Nothobranchius furzeri: one gene and its partner. The protein of the gene in region 1 purifies or fractionates together with the protein of each later gene. This does not show direct contact. Links are inferred from orthologs where the notes say so. Each region holds a gene or a part of one and is shown on either strand. Other genes may lie near its edges.

Region 1 (4,246 bases):
TGAGTCCCTAATCTGAGAAAAAATCCAGATTACCAAAGAACTCTGGTACCAACAGGAAGTCCCCTGCTCTGGCTCTGAGTGTTTGTACTGACACTGATTCAGGTACACGCCTGAGAGAAAAGCTTGTGTGGATGTAACATGACACCAATCAGACTCCAGACGCTGGAGCTAATCTCATATGAAGCAACAAAAGCTCCGGCATAAAGCTGGAGCAAAACGAGGCTTGTTGTTCAACACGAACGCAGCTTATCTCCCAGCTAACCACTAATATTTGTGTTTCTACACACTTGTTGGCCAACAGCTGCAGCAACGTCAGCTCCAGCTTTTGTTTTTTTTTCTCCCATTTTAATGGTCGCCGTTTCATTCCAAAGCAGTAATTTAGAAATAAATCAAGTTTTACTGAATGAAACATGCATTACCCGACATAAAAAGCTGCAATGACATATCTTTGATGAGACGTGGAGTCATGTGGGTGCTGCAGAAAGTAATAATCAGTTACGATCAGGAAATGCAACAACTCGATTACAACTGAATGCATTTGTATGTGAACAGCGCGGTTTGAAATGACTCTTCCTCCTTCTCAGACCAGCACAGTACGTGAAAATGAAGTGAGATGTCTGACGCTGACCCCGTAAAAGGAAAATTATAAAGAGTTCCAGTTTAAATCTGACCAAGAATCATTTACAGCACGGGAAGCAGCAGCAGAAGAGTTTCTTGCATGGGTTGTTTTCACTGTATTCTTTAGCCTGTGTGATTTGAACCGTTGCCTTGGCAACGTAGTCCTGAGTAGAGCAGACGTTTGCTTCTATGTTGTCCAGCATGCAGCCCTGCTCCTCCACCAGCTGAGCCATCTGGGAGAAGAGCTCGTGGATGTCTCTGATGCGACCCTCCAGCTCCAGCAGCTCCTTGTGTCTGCTCTCTATCTCGCTCAGAGCAGATCTGGTAGTCCTCCCCTCCAAAAGGAGATTATCCGAGAAGACGTTCCACTTCCCGCTCTCGATCATCTCGTCCAGCTGCTCCCTGGTCACCTCCTTGCCCATGATCTCCGCCTGCCTCTGAATGCGGGTCTTACAGTTTTCCCTCTGGATCATTTCGGCCTCGTTGTACTCAGACATGGCCTCGTGGAAGGCCCGAGTCAGAGAAGTGTACTGTGAGCGCACCATACGAGACAGAGCCGACGTGAAGCCGTGTTCCTCTCCAAGCTTTTTGCTCAGCTTTCCAAGCTTCTCCAGCTGGGCGTAGATGGCCTCCCCCCTGGCTTTGATGTCCCGGCCGAGCGCGTTAGAGTCCCGCTTGATGCTGCTAAACCTCCTGACGGACGTGAGGAACCGCGTGTTCTGCTTCGCCAGACGCTTCACGTCAATTTTCAGCAGCTGCAGCTCCTTCCTCATCATCTGGGCATCTTTGTAGATGCCGTCCATCACATCTTCACCTTGAAACACGATGGCCAGTGACTCTGCGACCTCCTCATCCTCAAAGACTGTGTTAAGCTCCTCCTCAGCAGGCTCCGGGGTGACGGTTTTCAGCTCAGATAGTCGGTCCTTCATTTCACCTGCAGCAAGAGTCAGTTCGATCTGTTATTTTCTAAAATATATGAAATGTTCCGTCGCTCTGAGATGAGCGGAAGCTGGACATATCTCCAAAAGACAAAGATCTTTGAGGCCCAGTTTGCAGTTTTGTCTTCTGAGTAACTTAAGAGACGAGGAGAGTAATAGAGTACAATAAAAACAAGATCTGCTTTCAGACTGACTCCAGATATCTGACACAACACTCTTTTAAGCAGCATCTTAGGAGGTTCCTCAGGTTGTCAGGAAATAATAACGCTGCAGAAAAGAGGAACAGTGCTGATCATCATGTGGCCATGATTATCAACACGAGACGGGCTTTTAAGCTTCCTCGAAATTATGTAAGATCTTCAAAGTGATCCGAGAAATGTGGTAACATTTAGTCTTATTTGGTGCATTAAACCAGAGGTGGCCTTCGGACAACAAGCTGGACCAGAGCCCTCCTAGAAAACACAGATCCTAATTAAACTCTTATAAGCTGCTATGACACATTTAGAATCAGCTTTTTGCTGCTGTTACTCACTGGCTGTGACGTAATATGGACCATTTTATTTTTGGAAACAATAAAAGTGGGGCAATCATTCAAAAATGTCTCATTTTTATCTTTATGCATTTTGGACTCGACCAAATTCTTCCTGGTTACAGAAATGATGATCAACCATATAAACACACCTAATTAAAAACCATTCAACTCTTATTATACTTATCTCGTCATAAAGCTGCTACTGCTCTCACTTTAATTAGTTTTGATTGAGTTGCGATAAGATAAAATAGGTGTGGACGCTTCTCTGGTTATGAATGAATAATTAAATAAATAAATAAACTGATGGTTTAGAAATAATTTCAGGCGGTAATGTCTACAAAAGGAAACTGCTCTGTTACTTCCTCAGATTGTGACGCTTTCAGCTGCTAGTTAGTCTCATCTGTCCTCCACATGCTACTCACATTGTGTAGCTACTTCAAACTATTTCAAGTATTTATGAACAAAACAGAAACGAATAAGCATCTAGTGATCTGATGGGAGGAGGTAAACGAAGAAACTAAGAGGAGTCTTGTAAACTACGCCAGGTTACTTGAGGCGATAAAACCAGAGAAGTAAACGTACCTTATGGCGGTGCCCTCCTAAAGAGAACTCTCCTTAGAAACAGAAGAAAAGAAAGACCCGTTTCCTCTTTGTGTCTCGGTTACATTTAGACATTTCACCAACATCAACCACAGTCTGAGTAAAGAGGTGTGAGTGTCACCAGCCTCCTGACGCCGCGAGACCAACTACGCGGAAGATCAAACCCTGCTTTGAGTTCAGGAAGAACTTCCATCAAAGGGGTCCGAATGGAAGTTCTTCCTGAACTCAAAGCTTTTACTTAAAATGTATTGTGAATAAGGGTGATTTAGAAATGTTAAAATGACGTTACGTAATTATAATTGATTGCATATATCATTTTTCTGAATAAACAAATTCATCAAATTAAATCAGCTGTTGTGATTTACTCAGATTTTCAGTAGCTTTTTAGCATGCGTTTTTTATTAGTATTTGTTTTTATTTTATTTATTTGAGTATTTCATACATTCATTGTGAAATCCAAAGACGTAATGCTTTTCCTGTTTGAAACAAAAAAAGGACCTTAAAAAATCTATGTATCAATGTTTGAGTGTTTATTAGATGCAATTGGGTGCTTATTGTTCTGTTGAACTCATAACCAATATTTTTATATCTGACATGTTTGATTAGTTTGGTAAAATTTCGTAACTGTTTTACATTGCCAAAAAACAAACCCTTCTGCCGTGTAGTTTCGCCCTGTGGCCGCCAGAGGGCGGTAGATCTGCTCTATTTGCTGTGCTGTGGCTAGCTGCTTTTAGCTCCTGCTGCAGCTCCTTGATTTAATCGAGTTGAACACAGATAACTAAAATTGATTTATTGCGTTTTAGTAGTTTATATAAGTGAAGACGCTCTGGCTTTCCTGTAAATTGGACTAAACGCTGTATTGAACGCTGCAGTACCCACTTGTTTCCAGCAGAGGACAGAAAATCTTTACTCTCCACAACCAAATAAAACAACAAATCCCACCTCTTCTGGATCTGTTCACATGCTACAACGTTTTGGAAAGACTTTAGCAGATTTATTATCGGACAGCTCTGCAAGGACTTCGTTTTAAAATGGGAAAATGCTGTATTTTTTTCGCAAGCAGAGAAAGGAAGATGTATACTTTGTTATAAATTTGTTAATCTAGCTAAATTCTATCTCCACAAATGCAAGTATAGTAACCAAAAACCTAATTTCAAGCACTATTATAGTGACACTCTATCTTGCATAAAATTGATTAGTGGATCACTAAACAAAAAAGCTTTAAAAACTATAACTATTTGCACCACCTGTAATTTATTTGGATGTGTGTAACATTTCTGTAGTGCACCCCCTGGCATATGTTTCATCTTCTTTGTTCAATTTTGTATGCAATTTGTTTGTATACTTATCACCTTGTTCAATAAAGTTTTGAAGAAAAAAAAGAAAAGAAAAAAAAACAAATCCCTTATAGTCAGATTATGTCTCCATCGGTCGTATCAAACAATAGATTATAAGTAATTTATTTAGACAAAAAACAAACAGTAAAAAATGCTATTCTAATCAATTACAGGTTACTTTTGCAGAAGTGTTCATTTTTAATTTAATTAATTTGAGTAGT
Region 2 (4,079 bases), on another chromosome or scaffold:
TTGGGAAAGAAAAACAGAAAATTATTTTAAAAAAGAGGTAATCAGTGGATGCTGGGAAAGGCTGAATTGGTAGAAAGAGCTGAATAAGAAAAGGGCAATAGTTAAGGTCACACCAAAGCCAGCCTGAACAGGTGAGTTTTCAGCTGCTTTTAAAGGAGACCACTGAGTCCACCGATCTCTGGGGGAGAGAGTATCGCGTCAGACCCGTGCCACAACCCGTGCACGCGCATTGGGTCCACAGTGCGCGTGTGAACGGGACTCGCGAGCGAAAATATACATGGCGAGAGGTCATTTGTGCACTGAGAGGGAGCAAACTGTGTCTGTGAGCGCACAAGGATGTGCACAAGTGACAAACCTGCGTGCGCGCGTTGCCAACGAGCACACGGCAGAGGAAAACGTGCGCGCGCGGCAGCCTCTCTGCGCGCTCGGCAGCCTCTGCGCGCTCGGTTTCTAATTCCGCTCGCTCGGCTGTGAGGAGTTTTGGCACTCTGGAGGCGTGGCCTGTGGCAGATCTTCCCTGTCCTCTGATTGGTTAGTTTACTCCGCACTTTACTCTCTAGCTATCTGTATAAAAAAATCTGAGATTCAGCAGTTGCTGTCATGGCTCAGCTGGGAGAGCGGGTGACTCTCACTCTGGAGGATCCAGGTTCGAGTCCGGCCAAGGGACATAGAGTTGATGTCATGTTATTCTTTCCTAATTCCTGTGATATTATTTTACAGTTGTGACCGTTCAACTGTCATTAAACGTCCGAATGTTTGCTGGGCAGTGTTTTAAAAAGTGCACATAAGCTAGATGGTTTTAACCAGGTAAAAATAGACTTGTGGGTGTAGGTATGTCCAAGTTTAAAAAGTTCTTGCCTCATTAATGTATTGTTTATTTTTTTCAGCATTTAATTGACAAATTATCCTTTCAAATAATTAATTGATGAGTTACATAATTGTCCATTTAGAATTGTTGAATGGACTGAGTCAAGTTTGGTGCACTTTATATATTTCAAAACATGTTTTTTTTTAATTATGCATATAAATAATTTTAATGTTAATTTATTGAAATATTTCTATTTTTTCATTACCTCACCCTTGTTTTGACAAAAACAAGATCTTGCTGGATAATATCACGGAGAAACTATTTGTTCACAGTACATGGCTCAGTGAGGATCTGTGTACCAAAGGAGGAGATGCTCAGAAATCTGTCTGCAGATTGTTACAACCCAGACTGGAAGTGGTGGGCTGTAATAAGAAAGGAGACCAAACAGAGGAGTGGGGGGTTCAACAACTGATTTATTTAACCAAAGTAAGGATTTCCAATAATAAATAAGAGGTATTCACCTTCAATACTAGTCATTAAAATGCAGCAGTTGCTGTACTGGTGTAGTTCAAAGTGGAGTGCATCAAATAAAACAATATTAACATAAAGGTGAGTCGTGTCATTACCCCCCCCACCACCACAGCTGGAAAAATCCCTAGGGGAAACACTAACAGCTGTAGCTTAGACATCTCATGGTTCTTAAAGGAGATGTACAGTTGGATGCCATCTGCATAAAGATGGTAGGATTCATTTAAAAGAGCTCAGCATGTGCTGGAGAGGAAGCAGATGAAGACGAACTTGGGTCTTCCAGTAAAACCTGATTAAGAGGAAATAAAATTAGATAGCAGGCAACTACAAAGCTGGCACAGATGTGGTCTCTATGATTTAAAAGGTAAATTTAAAGGAAAACTTTCATTTGATTGCAAAATAAATGTAACCTATATCCTCAGTGAGCCATTTAAAATGCCGACTCTTTAACTAGTCAAATGTGAAATTCCCTTAATCTGTGAGCACATGTGAGATTTGAATGGAGTGTAAATCCTGATCTTTCAGCTTTAATCTGTTCTGTCTCTATTATAAAGACTGAAACACCTCTGTTCCCAGCAGCAGCAGAGGATCAGTCCTGCTTCAGATTTGCATGCAAAGCTTTTCTCACTTGGTCACAAACATTTAACAGTCAAAAACCACCGTTAGATATCCAGCTGACCAGAATAAAAAAACATTTGTTTGTGTCCTAAAGTGGTTCAAAACTACAGAAATTGAATCCAAGTGCCTCAATGATGATGCCCTGAAAAAATAAGATGATACAGATCAGTTTATCTTAAATAGCAACAACATTACTTTTACATCTGTTGTTTGCACGCCTGCTTAGAAAACACACCAAACGTATGTGGACAGACCAAGGTTTCAGTCCAAAACAAATTATTTCCACCTTCTGAAGTATCTGATCCTCTGACCTCTCCAGCCAGCAGGAACAAGATGCTACAGCATCTCTGAGCTAAGTTAGCTAGCTAAGTTTGAGCTAACAAACAGCTTTAAGCTGCAACAGCGTTTAAAACGCTCATTTAAACACCGACTTCACACTTTCAAACATTAACTTAAGTAAATGTCCAACAGCAGGACCGCAGAGCAGCTTCCGAGTGGACGCCATTGTTCAGGGAAAACAGGGTCGTAAGTTACAGGTGTCCCCTCAACTCAAACATTATTCATTTTCTTCATGTGACCTGAACAAACACACCTGCTCCTTACATGGCGCCTCGTTATGGAGTCGCTGCAACAAAACAAGAAAAACATCACCTACCGGGTCCGCGTCCATCCTGTCAGAAACTAGATCCTCCTTCAGAAGACCCACAGACACGGTTCTTTAGTTTAAAACCTTTAAAATGATGTAAAACCTAAAAGTTTGACGCTCCTACAGGTGTCTCTCTCTCTCTCTCTCTCTCTCTCACTCGCTCCTCCTTGGTTTCACTTCCTGTTTTTTTCTCTTCACTCTGAATTCCTTCGCTTCGAGTTTTCAGCTCAAACCCACATCCGGTTTCATTAAAGCGATAAACGTGAAGCTCATTAAACGGTTTAAAGTAAGTTTATTAACATTTACAAGCATTACGTTAGAAAAGTTAAATAAAATAAAACGGTACTACATTTGTTTCATAATTTAAAACAGGAGATAAAACGTGTTAACCAAATCACTTGGATTTTAATTAAGTTTTTTAAACTGTGTATTATTTTATTTATTTAATTATTTAATGCTCTTCCTATTTTTACTTCTGCGTTTATACATTTTGTTATGAACCTGGGCCATCGTTTGTTTTATTGTGAAACATCTATGCTTTTATTTAGAAGATGTACTCCTGTATTGTGTCTGCTGTTGATAAACTGAGTGTAATTACCTTTCAAGGGCACATAGAATATTTATTCATCCGTTTATTTGTCTGAAGCTTTGCTGATTTGTGAGTCAGTGGTGAGAGTTGGATTGTGATTTAATCCGATGCTCAACTAAACAAACGTCTGCAAAAATAAGAGCAATTCAAACATAACAAATTCACATTAGCAGTAGGCCTAAGTTTTAAATAAATACTTTTTATTCACCACAGCAGACATCTGTGCTAAACTATTATAATGTAATAATAGTTGTTACATAGAAAGTGGTTCAGCTTTTAAACAAGACAATAACACTCATAAGTGAGTGCTGTGTGTGTGTTTTCCTCATAGGTTTTAGCCTGGCCTGCCAGACTGGTCCTGTTTAATCCTGCAGAGAGTGTCTGGTTCCTCACAGGCAGAGAGGCACTTGAGGGGCGGGACTAGGAAGCTCAAAAATCACCAATCACAAAAAAGACAGAAATGCAGACAGTACCGCGCAATGCAGTAGTTTTTTAGCTGTAGTCAAAAATGGCGTCTGGCGACAGCGCCATCTTTCTTAGAAGTAAGGCTTTTAGTGCTTCTACTTGTTGTTTTAAAGACGTGCCAAAGTCATCTAGAACAGAGGAAAGAGCCGCAGCGAACTCCCCATTCAGTCGCCATGTTCTTTATTTATAATTGAACAAGATACATATTCTCGTTGAGGATTACAGTCTCGTCAATACAACAGCCAAAACCAACAGCTTAGTGAATAACATGACAGCATCTATGTACAACATAAAATAGATACGTGAAAACAAAAGGGACATAACAAAAATAAAAGGGACTTTACAAAAATCAAGACACAAGACGGGGGGTTAATGCAAACACAACATCCAAATAATACTCCTGCAAATACAAATACAATCCTGTA

Evidence for each region.
Region 2: the proteins of stx11a (region 1) and vamp8 purify together in Homo sapiens (co-immunoprecipitation; 3 studies listed by BioGRID and IntAct, counting the BioPlex papers as one, with this or other methods). This does not show direct contact. The link is inferred for Nothobranchius furzeri from reciprocal best matches to the Homo sapiens genes STX11 and VAMP8.

Annotation. Positions count from the first base shown.
Region 1 is NC_091758.1:20,330,096-20,334,341, reverse strand, and holds stx11a (syntaxin-11a), read right to left. Parts: upstream 2,806-4,246; 5' UTR 2,671-2,805; intron 1,553-2,670; 5' UTR 1,548-1,552; coding exon 678-1,547; 3' UTR 301-677; downstream 1-300. UniProt on the Homo sapiens protein: SNARE that acts to regulate protein transport between late endosomes and the trans-Golgi network.
Region 2 is NC_091757.1:27,703,362-27,707,440, reverse strand, and holds the start of vamp8 (vesicle-associated membrane protein 8), read right to left. Parts: upstream 2,811-4,079; 5' UTR 2,625-2,810; coding exon 2,610-2,624; intron 1-2,609. UniProt on the Homo sapiens protein: SNAREs, soluble N-ethylmaleimide-sensitive factor-attachment protein receptors, are essential proteins for fusion of cellular membranes.